4 linked regions of the Astyanax mexicanus genome follow. The protein of the gene in region 2 purifies or fractionates together with the protein of the main gene of each other region. This does not show direct contact. Links are inferred from orthologs where the notes say so. Each region holds a gene or a part of one and is shown on either strand. Other genes may lie near its edges. The genes, in order: ankrd44, ppp6c, serine/threonine-protein phosphatase 6 regulatory ankyrin repeat subunit C and ppp6r3.

Region 1 (7,584 bases), on a different chromosome or scaffold from region 2:
AAGGAAACGATTTTCGGCATATTATGTCTACTGCGCTTGCGCACATCTCCACAGCAAGGGGGGGGCTTCCCCCAGATCCTTAAGGAAAGGGGAAACAACACGATGGCCTACAAACACAAGATCTACAACCCTTCAACCACTACCACATATATAAGCACCATCCACACATCTACACATCTGTGTAGAAAGGAATCTCAGTTTGTGAGCCTGGAGAGCTGGAATGCATCGTCCTCCTCAAGACTTCCCTCCTGCAGACTTTGGATCCAATCCTAATTCACCCCACCTGATGCATCTAACTACTGCCTTCAGAAGTCCAGAGCTGTGTCTGAAGCTGTGCCCTCCCTATTCACTCTCCAATACGTGCAAAAATCCAGATCACTTTATACAGTAGTTGTTATAGAGAACAGAATTCAACAAAGTAGTTAATTAAATTTCCTTACACTGTAATGTCTGTAATATCATACATGTCAAATTAACAGATAGAAAATTGGTTTTCCTCTAAGAAACTGTAGAATCTCAAGAAACTGAATCTTTAAACTAAAACTACATGGTGAATTATAGGTGTTCAATGTCCACTAGGGTTCATCGATTGGACCGTCTTTTTTTACAAGCATCCTATCAATGTTTTCAATGTACTGACCAGCTCTAGTAGTAACTTAATTAAGCTCAGTAATAAAACAGTGTGTAGATAATGCCTTACCCTCAATAACAGCTGTTCTGTTTTTTGTTATAGATCATTTGTAATGTCTCTGCTTTTTACTATTAGGCTACTATAATTATACTCTGCTCTGTAAAGCAAAACAGCCTCCTAGACGCTATGTATTTGTCAACCTGCATGACACACTGCTTTTAGCTGAAAACATAACCTTTAGCCTCCAGTGTTTGGAGTCACAACATCTATACATGCCCACTGAAATCATCCATACCAACAACATAACACCTTATTAAAAGAACAGAGGAAGAGCCTAATGGAAATTAGATGAGCATGGTTCCATTACAGCAAAGGAGGTGCAAAGGAGGTTTGCATAAAGACAAAAATACAACAAAAAACTAAATCTAAATAGGAAAAAGGAAATCCAAAATATAAGAATTTGGAAGAATATAAAATATAATATATAACAGTCTGCACCATTTTTGTTTGGAGCACTTATTTTCAAAGCTCAGTAAAGATTAGTAAAGTATTGTGACAACTCTGCTGAAAACCCAATGTTGAACTTGAGCAACAACGGCACTAATTTGTACTCTAGACTGAAGTCTAAATCCTTGAGAAACGTCAGACTGCGTCAGCATCCCATCCCAGACTGCACATTATAACTGAAGTCATGATATATGATGTAGTGTTTCATGTAGAGTTACAATAGAGCATTACAGCATTAGAGCATTACAATCCAGGCCTAATTCTGAGACCAAAAACCTTGAAGCCTTTTGACAATATAATTAATATAAAATTATTATTAAAAAGTAAAACTGCTTTTTAAAGCTTGGGAAAGATTTTTAAAGTATTGTGACATCGCTGCTGCAAACCTGATGTAGGATTTGGACTGAAGTTGGACTTGAGCAACAAGGGCACTAACTCAGACTGTGAAAGGTCAAAATGTGTGCAAACGTGTGCACGCATTATAAAGAATATGTTATAACTAACAGAGATAGGTTATTAAGTAGGATAATAAGTATTAACCACACTTATAAGTGCATAACATTTAATAATAGTACTGTGTACTGGGTATTCAATGCATTTTGTAAAAACTAACACAATTTCTATTTTAAGGCTTAATTTTGAGTGTTTATGATTAGAGAACAAGAACCTGACTTGAATCAGAGACTCGAATCAGAGACTCAAGACTCGACTCAGATTAGCATAAAATAGTATAAAAATTTGGACCCTAGACTGAAGCAAGTATTACACTTATAATTGTATAATATTTAATGATAGTACTGTGTGCTGTGCATTTAATGCATTCTGTAAAAACTAACACAATTTCTAGTTTAAGGCTTAATTTTGAGTGTTTATGATTAATGACCAAGAACTTGACACAGAGTCACGACTCAGACTCGAATCAGAGACTCGAATCAGAGACTCAATTTAGAGACTTGAATCAGAGACTCTGGATTCAATGCATTCTGTAAAAATAACACAGAATGCTAAAGCTTTTTTTTTGAGTGTTCATGATTAGAGACCAAGAACTTGAGATAGAGTCACGACTCGGACTCGAATCAAAGACTCGAATCAGGACTCGCAAACGACTCGAGACTCGACTCAGAGTCGGAAAAGTGACTCACTGAACATTTTCTCTGCACATAAATATGGTGATATTGAGCTTTTTAAACACGCAGGGCCAATTTTAGGGTAAAAAAAAATGAGATTTTAGAAGTGAGTTTTGTGTAGAGAATGGCGGAATGAGCTGCAGGTCATTTCCTATTGGGTAACTCTGAGCACTTCTGCAGGTTTCAGCCTCTAAAACAGAGTAAAACAGTGTAAATATTCAGACAGATTTCAGTAAAAGTGACCAACCTGATCGACGAGCTTCAGAACAGCCATATCGAGGGTCACCTGAACCGGTACATCCGAGCCTCCCCCGAGCCCTGAGTGTGAAGGCTGGAGATTTGGAGGAAAAGAAGAGGAAGAAAAGAAAGAATGAAAGAAAGGAGCAGCTGCTGATCCTCCGCTCCGCTCAGTGCAGCAGAGAGACCCGCAGTATCCAGCAGCAGCGGCGGCGGCGGTACAGCAGCGGTAACCGCTAGGCTCTGCTTCAGCTCGCGGCCCCGGGGGCTAGATGGCCGCTCCACGGGCGCTATCTTCGTCCAGCGAGAGCGGGGCGAGCCGCTGCAGCTGGAGACGAGCCGGGGCTGGAGGGATGGAGGCGGGCGATGCCGGAATTAATCCGCATTTACAGCAGCAGCATCAGGGCACACTCAGCTCACACTTCGGGTGTGTTCAGCTCACCACACACACACACACACACACACACACACACACACTCAACACACGCATTCTCCTGCTGCTGCCTGTGTGTGTGTGTGTTCAGATGCTCTCAGAAAACAGGAAGTCCTCAGACTGAGGGCCCTCCCTCTGCTCAGCTCACACACACACACACACACACACACACACACACACACACTACTCTCCCAGGTCTCCAGATCTTTGCATAGTAGACAAAAACACGCACTCACACACACACATGTTCGTTGTTATACACTGTCGGGACACTGGGTCCCATTCCTGTCATATGTTTAGCTATTTTTCTATTTACACATCTACTACTGAAAATCCCAACCTTAAAATGTGCAAATCTGCTATTTTAGCCTTTTTAATTCAAGATCAATCATCTCAGCTCTGATATTATACGCTACTCTTCCAGTTCTTCAGTTTTCTGCATTGTAAGGAGGACATCACGTCCCGAAAGTGTACAAAAACACGCAGAAACACACACACACTCACACACACAATGATAGCACTAGCATGCTAAAGGAGCTTTGCCTCACTGATGGGTCAGTGTGATTACTGTAACGTTTATTCATTTAATTTTCTGACCTTTTAAAACTAAATGCAAACTCATAATTTGTATGTAATGCAGGGTACAAGAAATAAGTTTTCATCCATTTTTTTTTTTCAAATTTAATTTTTTTCATTTCCACTCCTCACAATCGCAATATCAGGAAAAATGAAAAAAAAAAAATTCTTTATTTTCTGATTTTTCCAGTTTTGCATTTTGCGAGTTGGATTATAACATCAGATTTGTGTCACAACAAAACAAAAATACAAAAGAAATACAAATATTAAGAAAAGATTTACATTTTCATTTTTTTAATTCTGTTTGCAAAAGGCTGAAATGAAAAACTCCATAATTTAAAAATTGGATGAAAACTAATTTCTTCTTTACTCTCCTGAATGGAAAATAAAATGTAAAAAGTTTTATTCCCAATTTTCTATTTTGGAATTTAGCTTGATACAGTGAGGGAATTAAACTGCTAATCGATACACTGACCAGTTTTTCTGTATCAATTAATCACTTTATTTCTCACTTGGGTGCTTAAGACTTTTATATTGTTAGTTGTGCTCCATTTAATCAAGTGAGGGCAATTTCTTTTCAATTTTCTTTTTTTTCCATTTTTGTCCCCCACAATTCGAATTTCAGGAATAGTACAAAAAAACACAAACAGAAAAGCAAACTTTTTAGCTACATTTTCTACATTTCTAACACTAAAGAGTGTTCCCCAAGTTTAGAGCACTGCTCAGAACACGTGTCATTAAAAATAATCTTAAACTTAAAAAATAAATAAGAGGAAGTGCACAGAATAGCCACAAGGCAGAAATGCCTGTGCAGCAGTAGGCCAGCAGTCATCCTCTTTCTGCTTTTGGAGCAATGTTTGTATATTTGGAAAAACTAATGAAACTTAATCTCTTCTCTTCCTCTTTTACCATACAGCAGTCTGGGTCAGGTCACTGTAAATGTTTTGCGACCCCATTTAAAACCGTTTCCTTTCACTAACTACGTGACACTGTGCGAAACTCGCTATTTAAGTTGGCCCAGTGCTGGTGTGCTGCTGGTTGACCAATATATACATCTCTGGGGACAAAATGAGATCACTTAAAAATGATGAGTTTCTTTGATTTTACCTAATTGAAAACCTCTGGAATATAATCAAGAGGAAGATGAATGATCACAAGCCATCAAACCAGGAGTAAAGGAATAGTTATCCAAAAGCAGAGTGTAAGACTGGTGGAGGAGAACATGATGCCAAGATGCATGAAAACTGTATTAAAAACCAGGGTTATTCCACCAAATATTGATTTGAACTCTTAAAACTGCTCTGATCTTTTTTGTTATTTCAGCCATTTCTCATTTTCTTCAAATAAATGCTCTAAATTACACTATCTTTTTGTAATTTGGAAGAAACCTTGTCTGTAGTTTACAGAATAAGACATCAATGTTCATTTTACTCAAACATACCTATAAATTGCAAAATTAGAGCAACTGATTCAGAAACTGAAGTGGTCTCTTATTTTTTTCCAGAGCTGTATATGTGTTTAAAGCACAAGCTGATGAATAAAGGGTTGATCAACTCATCAGTGTCCAAAATACAAAACACTGGTTTACCAGCATATATGCACTTTCAAAACAATAAGACAATCACATTCAAAAGCACAAGACTGAACCACAAATTGACTTTTAATACACAAATGTTTATTCAGCCAAAGTAAGCAACATCCAAATAAGAACAGATGAGGGATGATGAAAAGAAGCAGGACAGATCGCTACAGGAAAATCACAACTTTACAATTTGTCCAGACATTCCTGCTAAAGGCTTCACATTTTAGTGAATGTGCCACTACGTTTCACTGCCAATAGTTAGGTGTTTTTTAAAAACCAAAATAATAAAGTTCTTATACGTTTCACGCTTTTCCCACTTTCAGTTGTTTATTAAAAATTATTCTGACCTCAGCATGTGTGATGAATGTAGCTGCAAAGCAACAGAACTAAAAATAGTCTGACTTATTTCTACAAATCATGGCTTATGGGAGACAAAGATGCAGGGAAACGAAAGAGTGTACATGAAAAAGGTGTGTACAGGTATTTATAAGAAGTACTCCAGCTCATAGCGGACGAAGGGATTCTTCTCATCGTTGTAGACGAGGGGATAATGTGCAATCAACGCATCCTGGGAGCCGATGTAGATGGAATTATAGATCTTCCAGTAGACATCACGTACCTTCCGCGCAGGATGGAACAAACCCTAATGTGGGGAAATAATAAAGATATCAGTTATCTGAAGACGATCAGTGGATTCGCTTAACAGGAAATTACAAATAAAAATCTACAGTAAAAAAAGAGCAGAGAACAGAGTCATACCTGTAAGCAGTACTGCAGCATACGGCACGGCCCGATAGCCACGCGGAGACCCTCCAGAGCTCCCATCACAGCCTGAATAACGTGAGGCGACGTCTCAAAGACGTTAGGCCAAACGTAGTTGAGTAAGTGGTTCAGAGAGTCCTCACAGCCAAATCCATACACACCCAGGGACATGTGCTGCACTACAGCGCTCGCCGTCTGCCTATGCACAAGGTCTCTGTGAAGGACATGGAAAGCGTATTAAAAGGAGAGAACAAGCACAAATTTAATATGGATTAGGATTATTTGGATTATTATTATTATTTTTTTTTTTTTTTAACCAAAACCACCAAATAAACCTTAATGAAACCACTTAAATGTACACTACCTATACCTTTAACAGTACGTTTCCTGTCAGTAGTAAATACATTATAAATTAATTATATACAGGATTTGTAGAAATTAGGGCTGCACAACACATTATTTCAGCACTGCCAATGTTCACATGTGCAAGAGTCACATAGGATTACCTGAAATAAACTCACTTTACATTGACTTCCTTTGAAAGTAAAAAAAAAATATATATATAATAATAATAATAATAATAATAAAACAAATCTCTCTCTCCTGTAAAGTTGCTGGTTTGAAGATAATCGTTTTTCATTGCACAATGACAAAATACAATGTCAAATTATATCCAACACATGTTGATGTATGTTGAACCTTACGCTGCTTGCTTCTTAAGGAATGTTTGCAGGCAGATTATATCCAACAATCAAATTTAAAGAATTTCTATATTTTTTATATTGTAATATATATTGCAGAAAGACCAATTACTTAGCATGAATTCCTAACAAAAAACCTTTGAAAGACTTTGATTTTCCAAGACCAGAACTTCTGGTCTACATCAACACTGTAAAACAGTACTCTTTGTGCTGGGCTCACCTGTCCATCAGTGCATCCTCCAATAACGGCGTGACGGCATAGATATAGTCCTTTCCCATTTCACCAATATATTCAAATAAGAAGGAGAGGGACTTGAGAACACCGTTCTGAACGTTGAGCTCTGGGACACGGTATTCATTCATCAGTGCCGGAAGAACCGTGAACGGTGAACACGTCTCTGCCACAATGGCAATGGCGACTGTTGTACACACACGGTTCTGCCGTTCCTGCACTTTTAAGTTGTTGAGTAGTGTAGCAAGCACATCGTGAGGCCTGGAGAAAGAAAAGCATGCATTAGTATTACCAGAACAGCTTATTATATATATATATATATTTTTTTTTTTATAATATATATTAAAATAGGGCTGCAACTAATGACTGTTTTAGTAGTCAACTAATCTGATTATTATTTTACCAATTAGTCACAATTATTATTATATATATATTTTTTGTCATGCCATTTGTACTTTCTACTGGTAAGGTCCCTGATCTAATGCATATTTTTAATGCATTTTGTTTTGTTTTACTACTTTAACTAATGTTATTTATGGTAATGTGTGAGTTAACCCTGTTTAAACTCACATTATCATGCTTTCTGCAGTAGTTTAACCCACCACAGCTAATATAGAAGTCAGTGTTCAAACTACCTGTCGTTTATTTTTATCACATTAAGCAAAGACAGACGGGAGTACTCAGTTTGTGTTTTGTGCCATATCTGCAACATATTGGCTATTTTATGGCATCAACAATGTTTGTGACTCGTGCATCACAGACTTACATCATTTTTTCATATTAAGGACTCCCAGAA
Region 2 (7,264 bases):
AATCAATTAAAACAGCAATTTTGTTATTTGCAGTTTATTTCAGGTTCCAAAAAAATAACTGAAAGCAAATCATTGCCGTCATTTCCAATGTAAACATACCATGAAAATGTAGTTTGTGTCTGGAACTTGTCCTCCAGTTCTGAAGAGTTCACATAAGTCATAAAACTAAGAAAAATAAAACAGAGAAAACAAGACTGTGTTTAAGAATGCACTCAAAACAACATTATAAAACTGGACAATCCAAAAAACACTGTTATTACAGTTTCTTAACAGAACCTACCTGTCCATGTATGTCCCCACAAACGGTGACTGGAGTGGATACTGGCTGTACATTTGATTCCTCTAGTAGCAGGTCACATACATAGTCACACAATCTCTGCCAAAGCAAACAAAGATAAATGTTACAAACTGTTCAGGAGTCACAGTCTTTTTAGCAAAACATTTTTCTTATGATAAGTTAAATGAGTAGTGACAAATAATTGCAATTATAATGAAAAACACTGTAAGGCATGATGCTAATGCACCTGTCTCTGTGACAGAGCAGCAGTACAAACTTTAACTAGAAAAGTGCATTTCCTGAAAGAAAAGCAAAATTCCTCAACAGCTTATACTTTTCCTCACTTTCTGCAAGGCTGTTTATATTTTATTACAATGGTATTTCAGGTGGTTTCTAAGATGTCCCTGATGGTTGCTAAGGAGTTGCTAAGTAAACACTGCTATATTGTGGCATGTTGACTGCTATGGTATTTCAGGCAGGTCGCCATGAAATCACATATAAAACAAACAAGAAAACAAACTAATATTAAATAAATTAAGATAGACATCACAGCTACAAACAGGTGCAAGCCTAACAGTACAGTATAAAGCAAAAGTATAAAGACAGAAGAGAAATGTTTTGAGAATTAAAATATTTCCTCCATTTATTAAATCATTCCCAAATAGGGCTGCACAAAACATTGCTGCAGATTTGTCATCACAATATAAGCATGTGTAATATTAACAATCGCAGGCCGAGTAATTTTATGCAAGTTACTGTTTAACTGTTTTATGCAAGAGGAACATTTTTCGCAGATCTCATTTTCCACAACCTCTCCCAAATATAGATTGTATCTGCTCAATATCATTTATTGCTAAGATGTAATACATTATTGATATACTGACAAGATAATTATTATTTTTTATATGATTCAATGTATATATTCCCCCTAACATTGTGGAGCAATTTCACCTTAATGTAATACATTGCTTGTTGATTTCATAAATCATAATCACTTTTTAATGTAAGTAAAGTATAGACTCTAAATTGAGGTAATTACTAAAATGAGAGACAGGACTGTAAAATAGATTTTTTTTTATTAGAACTGTTTCTACTAAAAGGTTCTACTAAAATAGCTGAAAGATTTAACCTATTAACATGAGTGCATTTATTCAATTACTTATTGAACTGGGGAAATTGTTTATGACCCTAAAATGTATTTCTCTACCTTGATACTAGGGCTGAGAGATATTGTAAAGATAAACAAATAAAATTTAGATTTTCTGTGATATTGTAAAAAATAAATAAATATAAAGTAAAATAAAATCTTAAATATATAAAATATTAAATATATTAAATATTTTACATATGTGAGAAAAGAGAAACAAACAGCAGCATTTAGAGCTTTATATGAAATTAGCAAACATGCATGTTAAGGGAAGTCATTTTTGTTAAGAATAGCAAGCAGCTCCCTGCAAACTTAAAAACAGCTTTTATATTACACAAGGTTTACACCCAACTTTCTAATATTTCAGTTAAAGAAAACATGAATTAAATAAATGAAAATTAAGTTACTGGTAACGTAAGAGATGTATATAAAAATGTATACATGTATATTAAGCTACATGTTTCTTAACAGAAGCATAGGCCTATCTACCGAGATTCCCGCTTGCAGGTTCTATATGTAAAGATCTATAATCTCGATTAGCAAATGTTGAAAATCACATTAGTTGAAAACAGTAAATTGATTAAGTGCTCACTCCGCATTATTTGACACTTTAGCATCTTCATAAGAACTGGAAGGGCTGGACTCCTGAATGTCTTATTTACTTAGCTCTAATGTCTATGAGCGATATTATCAACAGGAGACAGAGATAAAATAAAGGCGTAAAATAAAACTGTAGCTGTATGTTTAGTAAGAGACTGCTGCAGTTTGCATCCCCATTTGATGAGACAAACGACCAAAGAAGGTGTGTCAGAAACCGTCAACTAGCCAACCTAGGTTAACTGTAGCTTAATTCGGTTTTCATTACACTGCAGTTTAACAGCAGCAGCAGCGCAGCTCGATCCTGACTGCAGGCTGGCTAATAACACTTAATAAAAATGAGACCATAGAGTTATGAAGGTGAAGAGATTCTACATTTGCAGTGCAAATACGCTGGCGTGGAAAGAGACTGAATAACGTTAGAAATCGTTGCTGGGTTTGGTTCGCTAAACCTGGTTATTTTGGCACCAACAGTTAGCTAAGCTAAGCTAGCTAGCAACGTCGTGGTAAATGTTAGCTAGCCTATGTAAGCTAGCAGGTTAGTCGTTTAGCTGTCTAAATGAGTTTGACCAGCTAACTATATACAATAGTAATGATACCGAGCAAATACAGATGGTTAAACACATTTTAGAGTTACTAACTATCAAGCTAACTGAAGCTAGTTGAGCTTCCTGAGCTCTAATACTGAACTAGCTTAGCCTAGCCTAGCCTAAATAACCCCCGCTAGCAACTTTAGCATTTAGCTTAGCAGTCCTCTTCACCTCTAACCGAGGCCGAGGAGCGCTTCCACACCTCTACAGCTTAAATTAAACCCCAAATAACAGGCGGACACTTACCTTTAAGTCATTCTCTGGAAGATATTTACACTGTCTCGCAATTTCAACATACTTGTCCAAGTCTAACGGCGCCATTTTAAGAACAACAGCTCATCGCAGGGCAGAGAGGAAGCGCGTCTACCTCCCTCCCCGGAGAAGCTGATCTGAGGTCGGTTAAACACACGCAGCAGCGGCAGGGTTGCCAGGTCCGGTACAAATATCCACCACTCCTAAAGAGCAGTTAAAAACCCACCCAAATAAAATGAGTATAAATAAAATAACGCACATATAAATAAATATTATTCGTTTTTTACATGTATTTATTTAACACTTTTTCTTTACAAAATAATTCCACATGTGTTCCTGTAAAGCTTTAATATTGTATTCAATATTAAATTTACAATGTAAAAAAAAATAATAAAAAGGAAAGAAAATACACTGAATGAAAAAAAAAGAATCTTAGAAGAATGTAAAGTATAAAACATATTCTGGTTTGTTTAACACTTTTTGTGTACAGAATAATTCAGTATGTGCTCCTATATAGCTTTAATATAGTCTTTAATATTAAATTTACAAAGAAAAAATCATATAAAATGAAAGAAAACACATTGGACAAGAAGAGGTGTGTCCAAACTTTTACCAGTTACTATACATATTTGAGGGTGGTTTTGATGGACAATGTTTTACACTATTAAGGTCACAAATATTAGACAAATTGTGGCCGAGGATATACAGTATGTGCAGAAGAAATGGCATCTGGAGAACTTGCAGTGATGCAAAGTTAATGTATTTTGTGCCTATGACACTTTTTTATGGTGCTTTTCCACTGCATGGTACTTGCACTACTTTAGAGATGTAAATGTAATACTGAAACATTTAAAGTTCTGACTGGCCACTCACATTGCAGGCTTTGGAAACACAATCCTTTTAGCAGTTCCTTTGTTGTTGCTGTGTTGTTGCTCTAAAGGTAACATAGTGAATGTTTTGCAATGTCAGCAGCTAAATTGTGAGATTTCGGGGGTACCAGGTAGCAAAAAGCAGGTCATAGAGTCAAATACTGCAGGGACCACACAGTGGAAAAAAGTGCCAATAGACTTAACATTAACTTCACCTTGAGTTTACCTTTCTCTCTCACTCTCCTCAACTAATCACTTATTCACACAGGTTCTGTTTGTTTTAGTAATTTACTCATAAATTACATTACTCGTGATTACATTAGTTGCTCGACTTTACACCAGTGAAATAATGTATGCCCTGCTTTTGCTGGAGCTTGTTTCACCTGGTCCTTGATTGTAAAGTTGGTTAAAAAGATGGTAATTTAACCTGAAACATACCCTATACCTCCATTTTTGTGGATTTCTAGTTTACTACATAATTTGAACACACACACTGTCCCTTACACCGTGTCAACATTTCTGAATTTGAATGGATCAATAGAAATTCTCCAAAATGACCTGAAATAAGCTATTTTTACATTGACTTCCATTGAAATTTAAGTAGGTTTTATCTTTCTTCTGTAAAGTAGCCACTTTGGAGATACTTGTTTTTCAATGGACAGTGATGATGTACCTTTCATTTAAGTTTGATGGACTGGCTGGACTGTAAACATGACTAAATTGACTAAGCTGATCGACAAGCTGGTCAAATTGATTGGCTAATTTTGTTATTTGGTGATCATACTGGTAGTCATGTTGGTCAATTAGTATCATAAAACTGGTCATACTGGTCAGCATGTAAGAACATAGTGGTAGCTCCTGCAACAGTAACAACCAGGATGTTTTTTTTCAGCTGGGTATGCACTCACCTTCACACTAACACTCATCAAGAAGCAGGGTAAACACTAAAAGGTGCGGGGCAGGTTGATCCTCCAGGAACAGGGATGGGAACAACTGGTCTACTGTTCTGGCCTGTTTGTCCTTGGATTCCCAGATGTTCAAATCAGGGTCAAAATACACTCATGGTTGAGCGAAAAAAAGTGTGGAAATCACAAACCTGGCAACTCCAGCCAGCGTACAGAAATCACACACTGTACCATAGGGAGGGAAACTGCAGAGCTGCGCCACCTGCTGGCTGTACTGGAAACATTTTGAGTCATTTTGTAACAACACATTGTAATCCCTATTTTGATTATAATATATATTATTATAATATATATATATTATTATAACTGTGAAAAGCAAACTCAGTTATTTACAGTTTTATGCATATGTATGTCAAATGTTCTTGGTAAAATGTGTAATATTACAATATGCTTTAATGAGCATATCAGGGATATCATCGGCGCTTAAAGAACCCTGACACACAGATAATGTAATTAAATACAGTTAACCTGCATTGTGCAGTTCATAAAAATCTGCCACTACTGATGCCTTTTTCGAAAATCAAAACACTGCGATAAGCACTGTGTATTATGAAAATATCTTTGCATATTGTAATGTAATATTTTACCATATTGCCAGCTATCAGCTGTTTTTATACTGTTATATTCATGTGCAGAATTATATTGTATCAGTATATTGTGAAATAATAATATAGTCTATATTGTCCAGCCCTACATAGAAGTGTAAATAAGTAAAAAAACAGTGTGAATGTGAATGCATATTTATTTGTGAGTGTGAGTGAGGCTGCTGTGATGTGCTGAATACCTTTATTTTGGGCAATACAATATTTATAATCATAGCAAGAGGGGGTCAAAACACAGGTAAGCAGGATATACTGTAATACAGACAGATCCATAGTCAAAGTACAGAACACAGAACCATATATAAAAATAACACAAACATATGTAGAACTCTAGCAATCATAACACAAGACTTTGCCAACAAGTCTTAAAACAAAGGCATTAAAACAGCAGTATGCAACAATTGATATACCTTGTTTCTGGGCTGTGGAATTTACTCTTTACACAAGCATCCAAGCATTTTAAAAGTTAGTGATTAAACATAGCAGTGAATGGTTTAAACTGGATTGAAATTGGCTTTGTTTCTGATCCTTGAGACTGCTCTCTAAACACAATTTAGGCCTCAGGCTTGACCTCTTACTCATATTTGTGTAATTGTTAGAATGACCACTAGAGAGCTCAGTCGTGCTGTATTTCTGAGGGCAGTTAGCTAGCGTTAGCCAGTACTAATCACAGAGAGAACAAAGCAGTGAAAACCTGCTTTGGCTGTGTTCATGAGAGTAAAGTAAGTTCATATCTTCACAAGAGTTCTCAGCTTCTTTCTTTATACTATTAATATAACCTTTAGGATAAGTAAAACACTGTTATTATTCTCTTATTAGCCTTAAATAAAAGTACTCTGTGTTGTTAGCCAGATTAGCACAGCTACATAAAGCCTTAATTTAATGCTAGTGTGCTACTGACTCTCTGTTTGTTGGGATTATTGCTGCTGTTTTGCCTAGATTTATATCTACTTGTTTATGTTTTGGTTTTTTTTCACAATTTGTGAATTGTTTATCAGCCTTGAATTTTTATACATAGTCTATTTCCCCCTTTGTGTATTAGCCACACACTCAAACTAGGGATGCACAAAGATATGGGAATTATTGATAATTGCTTTTTTAGTATCATCAATATGGCCAGTATTTTAAACCTTTATTTACTGACCTATATATTATATCCAAAAAGGACCAAGCAACACTGGCCGCACTACTTCAATTGGTCAGCGCTGGCCGTGCTATTTTAAAATGTATTGATTTAAGTTGATTTTTATTTTTTTTTATGAGTTTTAAAGTTATAACGTTTCTTGGGTGTCTCATCTCTCTGTAAGTTATAAATGTGTATATCATCACTGACATCAGCACCAGCAGATAGGTACCCATGTATTTTTAGATATTGGTATAAGCCCAGAGTTCTCATATTGGTGCATTCCTTATTCCAACTAATGCTATGTGTGGCTATGCTGTAGTGAAGAGGAGTTCCAGTACAGCTGTTAACTTTACATCCTGCCTCTGTATGTTCTGACTGACTCACAGCAAGTACCAATTCCCTCCAAGCACCTAATTCAGTCCTACAGTTGTTACATATCAAATTCCACAGCTTCTCAAATTTGCATAATAACATATGTATTTACATATCAACGTTCCTCAACTTTAGCTGGATTGTAGATTTAGCTGTTGTCACAAACCAGATCAAGTAAAAAAAGTCTGGATGATTTGCTGGACATACAGTCATGGCTGAAAGCAAGTATTAGCACCCCTAAAATTATACCAGAAAATTAATTATTATTGTAAAATTACACATTTTGTAATACACGTGTTTATTTCCTTTGTGTGTACTGGAACAACACAAAAAACTGACAATGGGCCCAACATTGTGACCAGAAAAACTTTGGTAATCTGCAGATTTCATGATGCCTTGCACATTGTAAAGGCACCCAGTGCCAAAGGCAGCAGAACAGGCCTTATCCCATTTTTAGTAAACATTTT
Region 3 (7,080 bases), on a different chromosome or scaffold from region 2:
TGTCAGCTGTTTTTGGGGGAAAATGCTCCAGTTATCCAGTATAACGCTGCTTTAGTCCGCTGGAGAAGCGAACGGGAGAAACAATAGGATTTCAGCTACTGCTCATGAATATTCATACATGCTAACATATCGCCTCTGATTGGGCAATAGCACTGCAACACCAAAAGGCGGATAAATTTAAATTATTATTAAATTATTTTTACACTAATTACAGTTTTTGCAATGTCATATACAACACATGTAATGCCCTGCTAAGTGCAGTACATCCACTGCTCTGGTCTTAGAGTCTCTGTAAAACAGAGTCCAGGTCCAAAAAGTAAAAATCCACCACCAGGCAGTTGAAACAAAACCCAGGGGTGGATTTTTACTTTTAACTAGTGTAAACAGAACTGTTCTAAAAAAAATACACCTACTTTCTCAACTGTACTTCGCTGGTGGTGTTCCATAGACAAATTCTAACCATTTGTTCCTTAGCTCTAAATTACTGGGCAAAGCATACAACACTGATGCGAGCCAATGAATACTAATTCACAAGTTGACGTAGACAAGGTGCTTTTCCTGATTTACTAATTTTTCTTTTCATTTTTATTAGGCACTAGAGATAATGGTGGATGAGGAACAATATCATATGCAGCATGCATATACAACTTAGACTTGAGAGCAAAAATATATTTGGGACATTCCTTTCAAACACTATTGAGGTCATGTCCATTGACTGTACAATAAGTCAATATTGTAATTATTGTGACTTTTTTTTTCTTTAGATGGACTTTGCACTTCTGTTAATTTACTATAATAATACAAAATTGAGATTTGACTGAATACATTTTCCCCTTAGTTAAGAGTGGATGCTTTAGTTAAACTGAGGAAACTATTTAATATAATTAATACATTTTACATAAAACTAGCTAGGCTATGTAAAGATTTAGGAGGAAGCTTAATGAGGAAACGCTAGAAGTATATACCGTTAAATATTATTTTATACAATGAGAATTTATGGGCTGACTGGTAAATAAGTTTCTATAATTACCAAAATTTCCTGGATTTTACTAAGTCTAGATTTAATTAGACTTAATTTAATTAATAATTTAATTTAACTTAGATTTACTTGGCAAAACCTTGCTAAGCTAGTTGGCAAGCTAGCTAACTAGATATTTAACTTAAGTTACCTTAGCCAGTGCGAGGCTATTTTACTGACTAAATGTTACGAAATGTATAGAGAATTTTATAAATAAATACATAAAGGAAAAATAGCTCGCGTTAGATAAATCAGCTAAAGCAGCGAAACGTATCTAAAACGTAAGCCAGGGTACAGTGACTGTTAGCCAGCTAGCTTAGCTAATTAATGAGTAGAGCTACTCGTTAGTTACGCTGGGCGCCAATTTGAGAGAATATGCATTATGTAGCGTTATTTAATGTGGCGTTTAGTTTTAGTTCAGGGTTTAGATTAAAACTAAAATGTTTCTTATCTATAGGAGGTGAGAGATAAACCAGTTAGCTAACGCTAGCCTAACTAACCACTAAATGTTTCTCTCAGTTAGCTAACTAAGCTAACTAGCATTATCGTTAGCTTAGGCTGAGAGCTAGCAAGCAGGTTAGCCGCTAAGCTAGGCTAAATTAATGCAGTAAATGTAGCGTTAGCTAGGATGGCTACTATTTGTGATAGTTTGTGCACTCTATTATAAATATAAACTCAATACGTTTCAATTTAAATCTGTTCCTAATCTAAATCTATAAGAAATAAGCTTAAAAACTGAAAAAAGGCCATTTCTGTCTCTCCTTAGTCGCCTAATCACTGAACCCACCCCTTTTGACAAGCAGGGTGTTCTGCCGATTTGTGCTACCATGTCAAACCATGCTACCACCGTGTATATTTATAGATAGCGAAAGTTTTGTTCTAATTAAATAATAGCTAGAATATTTCAACTGTTCCAGGTTAAGGGCATAAACTGAAATCTTAGCTTATCTTAGTTTAATCCTTATAAATCTAGTTTAAATATTTGAAATTTCAAAAGTCTGCTTTGCTGTCAGAATATTATAAACATTCAGCTTATTTTTAACCAACTTAATCTACTGAGTTTGTCTTATTCAACCGGCAAATATTGTCGCTTGTTTTATGCTTTATTTTTTAACAAGAACGAAAAGATCAGTTATTTCAATAATTAAGCAAAAATATCTGCCAATATGTTTAAACACTTTTAGTAGACTAAACCACTTAAAACAAGTAAAAATGATTATTTACTCGATTTTCTGTTTGTTTTTTCATCTTGTAACAAATGTTGATTGGATTATACGATTAGATTTTGTGTTACGAGCTGCAGAAAGCAGAGAGGCAGAAATAAAGTAGAACACTGGCAAATGATAAAAAATATATATTTTTAATTACATTTAAAAAAAATAAATAATGAAGCTTTACACGTTAACAGTTTACTATTTTCAAATGTATGCACAAACATTCGGAATATTTGTTGGTAAACGGATGAAAGTTACACTGGCAAAAATCATTGTACTAGGGTAAATAAAATGTAAGTGGTGTGATTATTTTTGTTGTATTATTTGACTGGAGTCGGCTTTTTTACTTTAAAACAAATAATAACTGTAAGGTTAGATAATATACATGTATGATTGACCCGAGAAAACAGTATTTCTACGAAAAATACAATATATTTACGTAAAAAAAAACAGCCGGAGCATGCGCAGAGCTGCTACAAACACATCTCGGTGGGTAGCACAAATCGGCAGAAAACGGGGATAAAGAAAGCCGTGCAGAAATATCTGCGCGACAATTCGGGGCGTCCAGACTCACCTGCTCTGTAATGCTTAATATTCCCATCTCCCCAAAATCAGCCGGGGCGCAGCTCCTTCATCAGGCCGGGGTGGAGAGAGGCGAGCGCGGGTTATTTCGGGTTATTTCTGATCAGTACTGAAGGTAAAGGCTAGCAGCACCTCCATCCACACTCGCCGCTGTTTATTGCTCTGAGCAGCAGAGCTACGAGAACAACCCCCCCTACTGGGACGGCGGCGGAACCACACCAATGTAGAGCTGCTTCAAAATTAAAGAGCCCAAACCCACATTGTCCACTCTATTGCATTTTTTCTAGTGTTAAAGTAAAACATTAGTGTCAAACATACACTAGAAATCTTTAAAATTCTCTTTTAAAATAAAATATAAAAAAGTGTCTCATTAAACCTGATTGTCCGAATCGAAAAGTGGATTTTCATAATTTTTAACAGCATGAGCTGACTGCTAAACCAGAATGCATTGTGAATCTTGTTACCTAGCTAGGGAACGAACTGGACACAATGATTGTTGCTTTAAGCATTGGTATTTACGATAGTACTACTTAGTGCTCATAGTATTTATAGTACTTATGGTCTTATAGTGTGTTTCTAAATAACACAAATAATGGTTAAACATTATTTCCTGAACAGTGCAGTTTTGGGTACAGCTGTTTGCACGTGCAGAAAATTGTTCAACAAAAGATATGCCTTTCTTGTCAGAAAAAAATATAATTTACTGGTCCATCTCAGGCAGCTTTACATAATGTTTTACAAGGTTTGTAAGCCGAAGATGGTTACAAAACTCATGTGACATTTAAAAAAGCATGTTTGAAAGCAAGTCCACTAATTCCTTTGATTTCCTCTTAAGAAAGTCTTTATTTTAAATAAATGGTTGACTGCATGTTCAAATAATTGATATATATGACAAAAGAATTCACTCATGTTACTTGAACTTATTTCTGTTACTATTTATGTTTTTAGTATAAGGACTGAAAGTAACAGGAACAAGTTCTTAGCATAGGATTAGCGAAAACATGAACAATATCTAAATGGCAGCTATGCTAATAGCAGATGTCCCAAGTCTCCCGGAAGACGTGGGAGTCTACCGCATATCAATAACGGCTCCCTGATGCCTGCAAGTCCGATAAAATCTCTCTCCCAGAATCTAGCATGTGCACACAAGCGACTTTTCCCCAATCGCGTGTTGAAAGAGAAGGAGAGGGAGAGAAAGCGCTCCCCTTGTGTGCATATTAATGAAGTGCATGCAAAACCAAGAGGGTTATATATATATATATATATATATATATATATATATATATATATATATATATATATATATATATATATATATATAAACATTTATTTATTTATTTTTTGGACAGGGGATTGGGGGTGTCCAAGTCCAGGTCCGGGGGCACCTCCCTGAAATTAATTTTTGCAACTTGGGATGTCAGCATGTGGACACTTAGCACATTCTACTGATTTTCTCTAAATTTGTGTTAAATTTGTATTAAATAAACAAACAACAACTAGCCTTAATATTATAGATTTATTAAGAAAAAATATTTTAAAAGCATAAATGGGAGATCACACAACTATGCAAAAAATGACATCTCTGATGGACTTTAATAATTATATTTCACGGTAAATATTGATAAATAGATGGATAGATAGATACTTTATTGATCCATGAGGTGAAATTCTAGACATCCAGCAGCAGGTATGTATAGTACACAAAGTTACAAAAAGATAAAATATAACGATACATATAAATACAATAAAATAAAAAATAAAAGGAAAAGTATAAAATACAGACTTTAGTGTGTGTGTGTGTAATGGAGAATGTAGGTAGTGCAGTTGAACACAATAGACAGAGAACACCAGTTGATGTGCATAAAGTGAGGAGTTAGAAGGTGTTTATAGTTAGAAGGTGGGAACAGGTCATTTTAGGTGGTTTTATATGAATTTTTATATGAATATGCTTAAATAAGAACACAAGCTTCTGTTTTTCTTAGTTTTTTACACTCATTGAATGAAATATAATGTCATATATATGTTTGTCTAAATTTAGTGAATGAAACTAACAAAAAAAACAGCCACGTGTTCCACGACGTGTGCCCTGCGTCACGGGTTGTGGGCGGGGCCTGGCGTTAGCCGCTAGCGGCTGTGAGCTGTCTGTATGATCAGCGGGTTGAAGTGCAGCTGCTGAACTTCGCTGTGTTTCTCGGTTCTGGGCTCCAGTTCGTTTATTACCGGCTCTGTGGGATAAAGCGGGCCCGGCGGTTCTGTGTTACTGGGCTGGAGTCTGTAGCGGGCTGGCGTGGGGCTCGGTTCGCCGCTGGTTCTGCGGGTTAGCCCAGCCCAGCCCAGCCCAGCTGCTAGCTGTTAGCTCTCTCTGTGGTTCTGAGTAAACAGTTAAAATGTGAATTCAGCTCCTTCATTCTCTGCTCTCAGTCATGCTTCTCTTTCCACTCTGGACCTCTCCGCTGTTCCTCACTGTAAGAGCTTCTGGACGATTCGGAACCACCTGAAGCCTGTAGAGCTGTGTGGTCCCGGGCTGTAAACACAGGCTAAGGCTAGCTGGTAGCTGGAGGACACTGCAGGGTCCACAGGGAGCCGGTTCTGCTGGGGATGTCTGATTATTTTCTGCTTCAGAAAGAGGAAATTCTACCTAAATGGCTCTCCAGCTGCGCACTCGACTCCTGTCCAAAGAGTTCATCAATATCTCCTTTACTTCTGTAAGATCTAGAGCCCGACCAGACCAGCCAATCAGGTGAGCAGAAACTCAGTAATATAATATTACTGTTTATAATAATTATAGTAATAATAATAACCATCTTTATTTATATAGCACCTTTAAAATGTAGTTTAAAGTGATGTACATGTACATACACAAACAGATTAACAAAACCTCAGAAAAATAAACAAAACTCCCATAAGAAGCAAGAAAATAAGTTAAGAAGAGATTAGCACAGTTAATACAGCAATACAGATTAAAACCTAAAAAGAAACAATAATCCAACAACAAAACATTAGTTTAATAGCCACACTGATAACTATGTATATTTTAATATGCAGTATATTGTTCCTGTGATGATTGCAATTTTATAATTAACACTATTACGGTCACTCACATTTCATTTATCAAATAAAGGTAGCAACATTAAAGGAGACATTCTGTGTGAAATGGACTTGGGTGTAGTTAGGGTTACCACCTTTCAGAAATGGGAAAAAAATAAATGTGTGTGTGTATGTATATGTATGTATGTGTATATATATATATATATATATATATATATATATATATATATATATATATATATATATATATATACACAGTGGGGAGAACAAGTATTTGATACACTGCTGATTTTTCAGGTTTTCCCACTTGCAAAGCATGTGGAAGACTGTAATTTTTATCATAGGTACTCTTCAACTGTGAGTGATTGAATCTAAAACAAAAATCCAGAAAAATACATTCTATGATTTTTAAATAATTAATTTCCATTTTATTGTGGGAAATACAAGTATTTGATCATCTATCAACCAGTAAGAATTTTGGCTCTCACAGACATGTTACTTCGTCTTTAAGAAGCCCTCCTGTTCTCCACTCATTACCTGTATTAACTGCACCTGTTTGAACTCGTTACCTGTATAAAAGACACCTGTCCACACACTCAATCAGTCAGACTCCAGCATCTCCACAATGCCCAAGACCAGAGAGCTGTGTAAGGACATCAGGGATAAAATTGTAGACCTGCACAAGGCTGGGATGGGCTACAGGACAATAGGCAAGCAGCTTGGTGAGAAGGCAACAACTGTTGGTGCAATTATTAGAAAATGGAAGAAATGCAAAATAACGGATAATCTCCCTCGGTCTGGGGCGCCATGCAAGATCTCACCTCGTGGAGCATCAATGATCTTGAGGAAGGTGAGGAATGAGCCCAGAATTACACGGCAGGACCTGGTCAATGACCTGAATAGAGCTGGGACCACAGTCTCAAAGAAAACAATCAGTAACACTCTACGCCGTCAAGGATTAAAATCCTGCAGTGCACGCAAGGTGCCCTTCCTCGAGCCAACGCATGTCAAAGCCCGTCTGAAGTTTGCAAATGACCATCTGAATGATCCAGAGGAGGAATGGGAGAAGGTCATGTGGTCTGATGAGACAAAAATAGAACTTTTTGGTTTAAACTCCACTCGTCATGTTTGGAGGGACAAGAATGATGAGTACAACCCCAAGAACACCATCCCAACCGTGAAGCATGGCGGTGGAAACATCATTCTTTGGGGATGCTT
Region 4 (7,783 bases), on a different chromosome or scaffold from region 2:
CAATATTATTTCAGTAACTCGTAAACAAAGTAAAGGGAAGTTTTATCAGACTAAGCCTAAATAAACATTTGTAGCATTATGTTCTAATGCATTACACACAAACATTGCGTATAGTAGCAAAACCCCTACATTTAATATGAATAAAATCTACGGTATAAAGTGCAAAACTAAGAATCATTTCAGAAGAAACATAATGACTTTTACCAATCCTAACCTGATATTATACTGGTCTGGAGTGACACTACTAACTGGAGAAAAGACGAATGGTCAAAATTTATATAATAGACAGTGGTAATACAAATGAGCATGGCCACACATCTAAACATTCAGGTGTGTCTAAATTGTTTTTGTGCTGGTCTGACATGATCCACTCTAAACAGTTTAGAGTTTGCAATTAGTGAGCAGAGCCCATTAATTCGAGGGAGTCGACATTCTAATGTCACAAGCACTATGTGTTTTTAAAATGACTAATATATTTTATCTTATTCTGGAACCTATAAAACAACTCCAAAGTGTTTGACAGGTGTAGTTCAAACCACATTGACAAAATCAGCCATATACTATTAAATAAACCTAAGATAAACTGATTTGGGCTTCTTGTTTACAGATTTCAGATTAGTGCAAAAGTAATTGTATATTTACACAAGCATTCAAATTGTGTGGTCAAAACACACAAATAAGAGTGCCCTAAAATTTTGCTCATAAACTTTAAAACACAACAGGTACCATCTTACAAGCACCACAGAACTAAAGTCTGCAGGTGTTTTCTCTCCATTGCGCATGGATGAGTTCTGGATTAGCTCTGTAGAGTTTTGGTACTCTACAATTTAGCTGACAGTTATATTAATTTGCACTTAATTTAGGGCTGGACAATATGGCAAAAATCTAGATCACAATATATTTCTTAATTATTGTTGAAATGATACAATTTCCTATATATCATATGAACAGTATTGAAGTCTCCACCCTCCACCGTATGCAATAATGCACTGAGAGCTGGGTGATATGGTAAAACATTCTATCACAATATTTAAAGACATTTTCACATAACAGTTCAACAGTGTTTATCGTAATCTGACATGCAGACAAAATGCACAACCAGTGGCAGATTCTGATATTCTGTTATTAATTTGTTTTTTAATGCATAGTACAGTGATTCTTCTTAAATTTTTGCTGCTCACCATCCAATTAAACAGGATTTTACAATCTCTGTAATGAAAAGTACAGTTGGATTAGTGTTCTTTAAGCAATGATTAGATTGATATGAAAATGTATTACAACAGTAAAATAAAATAACGATATATCGCCCGTCTCTAACTACCATTTATCCAGACGTGGTTGGACTTCAATGTTTAGAGCAAAAAACATCTTCGCACCCACCATAACAACCATCTAGCGACACCTTACCAACCCCCCACGAACAGTCAGTCAAGTTCAAAATCATTTCGTAGATTTTCCCCACAAAATAGACAATCAAACTGATCAGTAAAACGGTGTTCCTGGAACAGAGGCATTCTGTTGGCAATTTGGGAAAAATTTACTGAGTTTTCTGAATTTCTTTGTAGGAACATCAACTGCGAAGACTGCAATAGGAACAACGCACCCCTGTATTTACACGCTGTCTGATCGTCTTACAGCTGATCATAATTCACAGCTGGACTGTTCAGCCCTGATCTGTTGTTATTCATTTATATTATTGTGTTCCACTGTACTACAGTTTCTATAAATCACAAAAACAATCCAACTTCGCCATTAGCCGGCTAACCGGATTAAAGTATATTAAGGTAAACTAACTAGTAAGCTAGCTAGCTAATTCGATCAATTGTAATTGAGAACCCAATAACTCAATCTAATCCCCTAAACAAAAGTCAAACACCTTCTAATGTGCTGTTTATGAATCCGTTTCTCAAAAGTTACTCCATTACAGGCCCGGCATTAGCTGCCTATGCTAAGCTAAATCAAAATTTAGGCACTGGCAGCGCAGAACTCCGCTAGCATTAGCTTTACTATTAGCACTCGTCCACAGAAACGCAATACGCTGGTTAGCACGTTAACAATAACTCGCCTCAGCCAGCTGATTGGGTTTTAAAGTTCACGTATATCAGGATACTGTTTCAGAACGGACCATACAACTTAGTTAAACGTGTGTAAACGTTGGAAAAATGTAATAAAACGCGATAGCCGCGTAGTCCGACTGCGCAGAGCGGAAACGGTTAGCTTTAGCATTAGCTTAGCTTTAGCTTAGCATGCTAAGCTAACGCTCTTTCATAGCGAACAAACGGAGAGAAACGTACCAATTAAGAGCTTTTTACACAGCAGGACCCCGACATGAAGCTGGGAGACTCCTCGGATAAAACGGCAAGTCGCTTATAAAAGGTTTAAACATAAGAATACCGATGAAAAGATGAAGATACTGGTGTTAAAGTGTTGACAGTCCGAGTCTGACAGGCGCGAAAAACACACACAGCACCTCTTCAAGATGGAGCTACCGTCCCCTTCCCCCACTGCATTGACTGTACATGTCAATCAAAGGCGACTGCCGAGCGCTGATTGGACCGTGCGCACGTCAGTAAACACAGGCCACTGAAATTCAAGGAACGTCAAACGCTGTGGCTCAGTTCAGCTGGAGAAAACTTAACCAACATTGAACCTAATTTGCTATTTTAATTCACCGCTATCAAATTAATATTATAGTAATCTGCTACATTGGGCACGCCCACGCTATATTCAACCAATAAGACTTTCGCGTACTACAAAAATCTGCGAACTGATTGGATTGGCTGCGTTTTCAACCACAAATCCCGCCCTCAACACAGAAAAGCTGAACCCGCATCAAACTACGTTTTAACGTTTCGTGTAAAATGTTATTCGAATAAAACGTCTCACCGACTTATCGAGTGCGCGTCATGTTCCCCTCTCAGGTACCCACATGTTCAGAGGTTTACAGCAGAAAGGGAGGATTAGAAACACGTTTAAAGAGGAAAAAACTCAAACTCCGATTCGCTTCGTTCTTCTGTCTTACTTGTTCTCAACGCCTTAGCAACAACCCGACGTCAGTGTGACCGACAGGGCCCTCAGCCAATCAGCGTCGCTGCCGTCTGTGGCCGCGCTGCTTGTGTTTGCTGTAACGGGTGAAGCAGGCAGAGCTACATCTCTGTTGTTGGACTTTTTATCAGCACAGTGTGATGAAAGGAGTCATAATAACCAGAATGTGATATAAGATCATGTCATGTTTAAATTCACACTCTGACTGTGATTCACTTCAGGATCTTTTTTATTATCCGTGTTCACTGATAAGGAGATGTATTCCTCCCCCCACTGGTAAAATATAGGTCAGACTGTCCCAAGGATCATTTATGCCATGAAGCGCAGCAGCTACTGCCCGGCTGGTTCAGTGTGGTGTAGCAAATTGGACCTGACATCTGACCCTTAGATGTGGTTCAGAGATCCGTGCAATGTGATAAGACCGGAGCATGGTGTGGTGTAATATGATTGTGCATGAGCTGTACTGTACTTTACATCAGAACCACGCAGATTGTCGTGGTAAAAACTTACATTTAGAATTTAGTATTTTATATATATATATATATATATATATATATATATATATATATATATATATATATATATATATATATATATATATATATATATATATATATATATATGTTTTATTATATTTATTTTATATAATATATTTTATATAATATATATATACAATCTATATATATATATATATATATATATATATATATATATTTTTTTTTTTTTTTTTTTTTTTTTTATAAATTATTACCTGTGCAGGCAGCAGCTAACAGGGATCCAAATAAACCAGTAAAATAAAACAGAAACTGAAATGTAAGGAGCAGTTTAATGACTGATACATTGATAAGGTAAGTAGTTAAGTAGTTCTTGTCATAACGTGGATTACTCTGCCTCTTCACAACACAACTAATACTCTCAAACACATTAAAAGGACAAGAAATTCAAGTAATTAACTGTTGATAGGTTCAGAACAGCTGTTCTGAGACAATTCAGATGTGCAAAGCTGTCATCCAAGCAGGTAGTGCCTACCTCGAAGAATCTATATTATAACATATTATATGTATACTTCTTATGTCATTTAATAATATATCAAATGTGTCAATATATACGTATCATAAAAAAATACTAGCACCAAGGTGGAAGTGTCAGATTGCATAACAAAGGCTACCAGGAACAGCAAAATATAAAAAATGTAGACTATACTGACAATAGTTCATACAGAAGTAGTGTGTAACATGTGTAACTCAACATGACAGACGTTTCAGCATGAAGTTGTAGCTGTTCTTAATGGTATCCTACAATGATCCATCCGTGCAGCTTAAATATTTTCCTGCACATTTTAAGGTGGGGTGGAGTGCTGGTATCGTGACACATACAAAACCAAATATCTTCAGTCTGGCATCAATTCTGGTGATGTGGCTGGTCTTCAAGCGCTTGAGATGACAACAGAATGCTGACAATCATTGTCTTGTTGGAATATTGCACCAGGCCACCAGTTCCAAGACCATGTTCACATAATGTTGGGTTGCCTGTAATGAAGATCAGAAGTGATCTGTCACGTTAGGAATATGCATCCTACACTATGACACCAGCTGTCCTGGATGTGTGCCACGTGATTTAAAACAGTATTGGCAATGACCACAGTGCTTTTTTCACAGTCAGTATCACTCTATGATAGTCTGGCTTGACAGGAATGGTCTGTGTGCATGCAGTCCTGTGTCATGCAGCCATCTGCCAAAGGTGCAGGCACTAAAAGGATAATTAATGGATTTCCCTGTCCCTCGTTTGTGTAACTCTCCCAGGTCCTTCATTTCCTTGGTAAGTGCTTTCTTCTACACACAGCACTTCCTGAAGCTCTACAATGCATTGACTTGAGACACATGACATGGACTTTACTCAACAAAATAAGACTTGACTCTACTTTAAATTTACCTTCACTGACTAGGATTGGGACTTGGGCTTAAAGACACAAAAATAATTGGCAACGCAGTTTTAATTTTTTTATTATTATTATTTTATTTCCAAGTGTTCAAATTAATTGATTTCATGACATTGTTTCCTGTCGCACTGTGCAGCTCTGCATACCTCACGCTGAAGTAAATGTGCCATAAGAGACTATTTGTTTATTTTAAAGGTAATTAGCTCCCCTCATCCATCACCCACACAGGAGTTTCTTGAAGGAAATACCTGAAGTACCAGACCACCCTCTCTGATCGTTCAGTGTAGGGTGGCTAGACGTTTTAATCAGTCGGGTTTGATATCAACCGTGTTTAATATCATCGCAAGTCTTGAGACTTGGCTCATGCAAATAGTGACGTGAACAATGTTAACAACCAATTGGAGAGGGATGGGGATGCCACAAGGCAATAATATTTTGGTTTGCAATTAATGACTTTATATGCGTCTTACTTTAATATGTACAGTATTTTAAAGTTATTTTATTTTGCACTATTTTGTGTTATTGCGCAGTGTTAGTTTTGTTACAAACAATTTTAAGAAATACAATATTTGCAAGAATAATGTAATTATTGCATTAATTCTATCTAAAACAAAGGCAAATGTATAGCAGTGAAACTGATTCTTTGCTATACAAGGTTAAAGCTTATAGAAAGAGTTGAACACAAAATTAATTCTATTAAAAATATGTAGAACTAACAGTGTGGCAAAAAAAAAATTGTTGATGGGGACAAAGGTTGTGAGTCTCTGATAAATCACAATATTGATATATTATTTGTAACTTAATATGTAATATGTTTTGTATATTAAATCCACCAGAAGCATGATGGGTAATAATCTCAGAAAGAATCTAGTTGCAGTTTTGCAATTAGTGACCTCCAGTCTAAAGCTGTCCATACATTACACGACTTTGAAAATACTCTACAAAGACTTTTAACAGGCTAAAGTCTGATCCCCTCTCACATCTAAAGTCACAGACTTTTTAGTCACAGAATAGTCACAGGCAAAGATTTTGCAAAGACAGGGTATCACTAACTGCAAGACTGAGACTAGATTCTTTCTGAGATTATTTCCCATCATGCTTCTGGTGGAGTTTACATACAATACATATTACATATTAAATTACAAATAATTAAATTACAGTCAATACTGTGATTTATCAGAGACTCACCACATTTGTCCCCATCAGTTTATTTTTTTCTGCCATACTGTTAGTTCTTGATCATTTTAATGAAATACATTTTATGTCCAACTCTGTCTATAAGCTTCTTTTTCCCCTTTTTTGCTACAACCTTGTAAAACAAAGAATCACAGTTTTAATGCTATAGATAGAATTAATGCAATAAAGATCATCATTCTTGCAAAATGTGTATTTACTAAACATGTTTATTAAAAATAATACTGCACAATAAGACAAAGTAGTGCAAAATAAAATAACTATAAATATAATTACTTTAAAATACAGTACATGTTAAAGTAAGAACCATATAATACCTGCAAAATGTAAACTGCAAAATGTGTTCTTTTTCTAAACACTAAGGTGAAATATTGTTTTGACTCTTCCTGTAGACATTGGTTGTTGACATCGTTCACGTCACTATTTGCAAGACTCAAGACTTATATTAATATTAAACATGGTTGATGACGAGGATGTGAACCCGGCTGACTAAAACTTTCAGTTGTAACCACCTTACAGGTGCAGCTCGACTCTAGCAAGGCAATGAACTCATGTGTTGATGTAGACACAGTGCTTTTCCTGATCGACTCGTTTTTCTGAAAAATGTTTTTACTAGCTTCTGCAGACAATGTATGTTAAAGAACAGTTTCGTATGCAGCATGCACATACAAGTCAAAGAGATCTATAGTATTTCAAAAAGAACATGAAAAAAGCGGATTTTAGCAGAAGGAGACCCTCAATGATTGTTTATTGTTCAGCTCAGAAAGGACATGTTAATTGGTTTATTAGTCTGGTCAGGTGTGCTGGGAATAGTTCCTGAATATGTTTTTAAACACTTGGTAGGATAAGGATCTTATATGTTTTTTATTGAACTCATTTGGAATTGACTCCCTACAAGAAGGTGTTTTATTACTGTAGATTGCCCCAAATAATACAGTAAATTAAAGTAAGATTTTAACTGTTATTTAAAAATTAACTCTATAAAAAGAAAGTGAACACCACGCAGGCCAAGATCCATGCATTTTCAAAATCTAACATGTCTACCGCTGTCTTTAAGTTGACTTTTAAGTTGTAAATGCAGATTAAATTACTGCTTTATGGCAAAGATTTAAAAAAATATATATGGTGATTGTCAGTCCTAAATCAATTTAGTGACTTGTTTCCACCTCTGCTGCAACCCCTCTCTAATTCTTCTAACTGCTCCATCTGCTTTCAAACTTCTCCAAGGGATACTTCTCTCACAGAATACTACCAAAACAACAGCATGAGTAATTTTTTTCTGGATGGAACTATTACAGGAACACATCAACAATAATAATCTGGGATTCATATAACTAAAATGATTCTTAAATATTCTTAATGCTAAGATGCTTTTGAGAAACTGCGCCCCCTGGTCAGAAGGGTAGGTGTTGTTAATCAGTTTAGATCTTTTCAGATTGAGTCATTCACATGAAGTATGTGAGATTAAAAAGTTTCGTATTCAGAGACATAAAGTAACAGGGTAAAGGAGACTATTCTAAAGTCATGTTGAAATCACTGGGTTTGGCCAGCAGGAGGTGCAACATCTGTAGAGTACACAGCACTTCAGCCCAAACACCAGCAGGT

What was found.
Region 1: the proteins of ppp6c (region 2) and ankrd44 purify together in Homo sapiens (affinity purification with mass spectrometry; 5 studies listed by BioGRID and IntAct, counting the BioPlex papers as one, with this or other methods). This does not show direct contact. The link is inferred for Astyanax mexicanus from reciprocal best matches to the Homo sapiens genes PPP6C and ANKRD44.
Region 3: the proteins of ppp6c (region 2) and serine/threonine-protein phosphatase 6 regulatory ankyrin repeat subunit C purify together in Homo sapiens (affinity purification with mass spectrometry; 6 studies listed by BioGRID and IntAct, with this or other methods). This does not show direct contact. The link is inferred for Astyanax mexicanus from reciprocal best matches to the Homo sapiens genes PPP6C and ANKRD52.
Region 4: the proteins of ppp6c (region 2) and ppp6r3 purify together in Homo sapiens (affinity purification with mass spectrometry; 10 studies listed by BioGRID and IntAct, with this or other methods). This does not show direct contact. The link is inferred for Astyanax mexicanus from reciprocal best matches to the Homo sapiens genes PPP6C and PPP6R3.

Annotation. Positions count from the first base shown.
Region 1 is NC_064418.1:3,467,358-3,474,941, reverse strand, and holds the start of ankrd44 (serine/threonine-protein phosphatase 6 regulatory ankyrin repeat subunit B), read right to left. Parts: upstream 3,017-7,584; 5' UTR 2,540-3,016; coding exon 2,513-2,539; intron 1-2,512. Other genes in the region: sf3b1 (splicing factor 3B subunit 1), read right to left, coding at 5,578-5,736, 5,853-6,069, 6,777-7,049. UniProt on the Homo sapiens protein: Putative regulatory subunit of protein phosphatase 6 (PP6) that may be involved in the recognition of phosphoprotein substrates.
Region 2 is NC_064408.1:18,384,822-18,392,085, forward strand, and holds the start of ppp6c (serine/threonine-protein phosphatase 6 catalytic subunit), read right to left. Parts: upstream 3,018-7,264; 5' UTR 2,933-3,017; coding exon 2,858-2,932; intron 377-2,857; coding exon 281-376; intron 166-280; coding exon 100-165; intron 1-99.
Region 3 is NC_064431.1:14,604,876-14,611,955, reverse strand, and holds the start of serine/threonine-protein phosphatase 6 regulatory ankyrin repeat subunit C, read right to left. Parts: upstream 3,009-7,080; 5' UTR 2,834-3,008; coding exon 2,807-2,833; intron 1-2,806. Other genes in the region: coenzyme Q-binding protein COQ10 homolog A, mitochondrial, read left to right, coding at 5,457-5,554. UniProt on the Homo sapiens protein: Putative regulatory subunit of protein phosphatase 6 (PP6) that may be involved in the recognition of phosphoprotein substrates.
Region 4 is NC_064417.1:10,376,444-10,384,226, forward strand, and holds the start of ppp6r3 (serine/threonine-protein phosphatase 6 regulatory subunit 3), read right to left. Parts: upstream 3,017-7,783; 5' UTR 2,887-3,016; intron 2,505-2,886; exon of another isoform or gene 2,295-2,504; intron 1-2,294.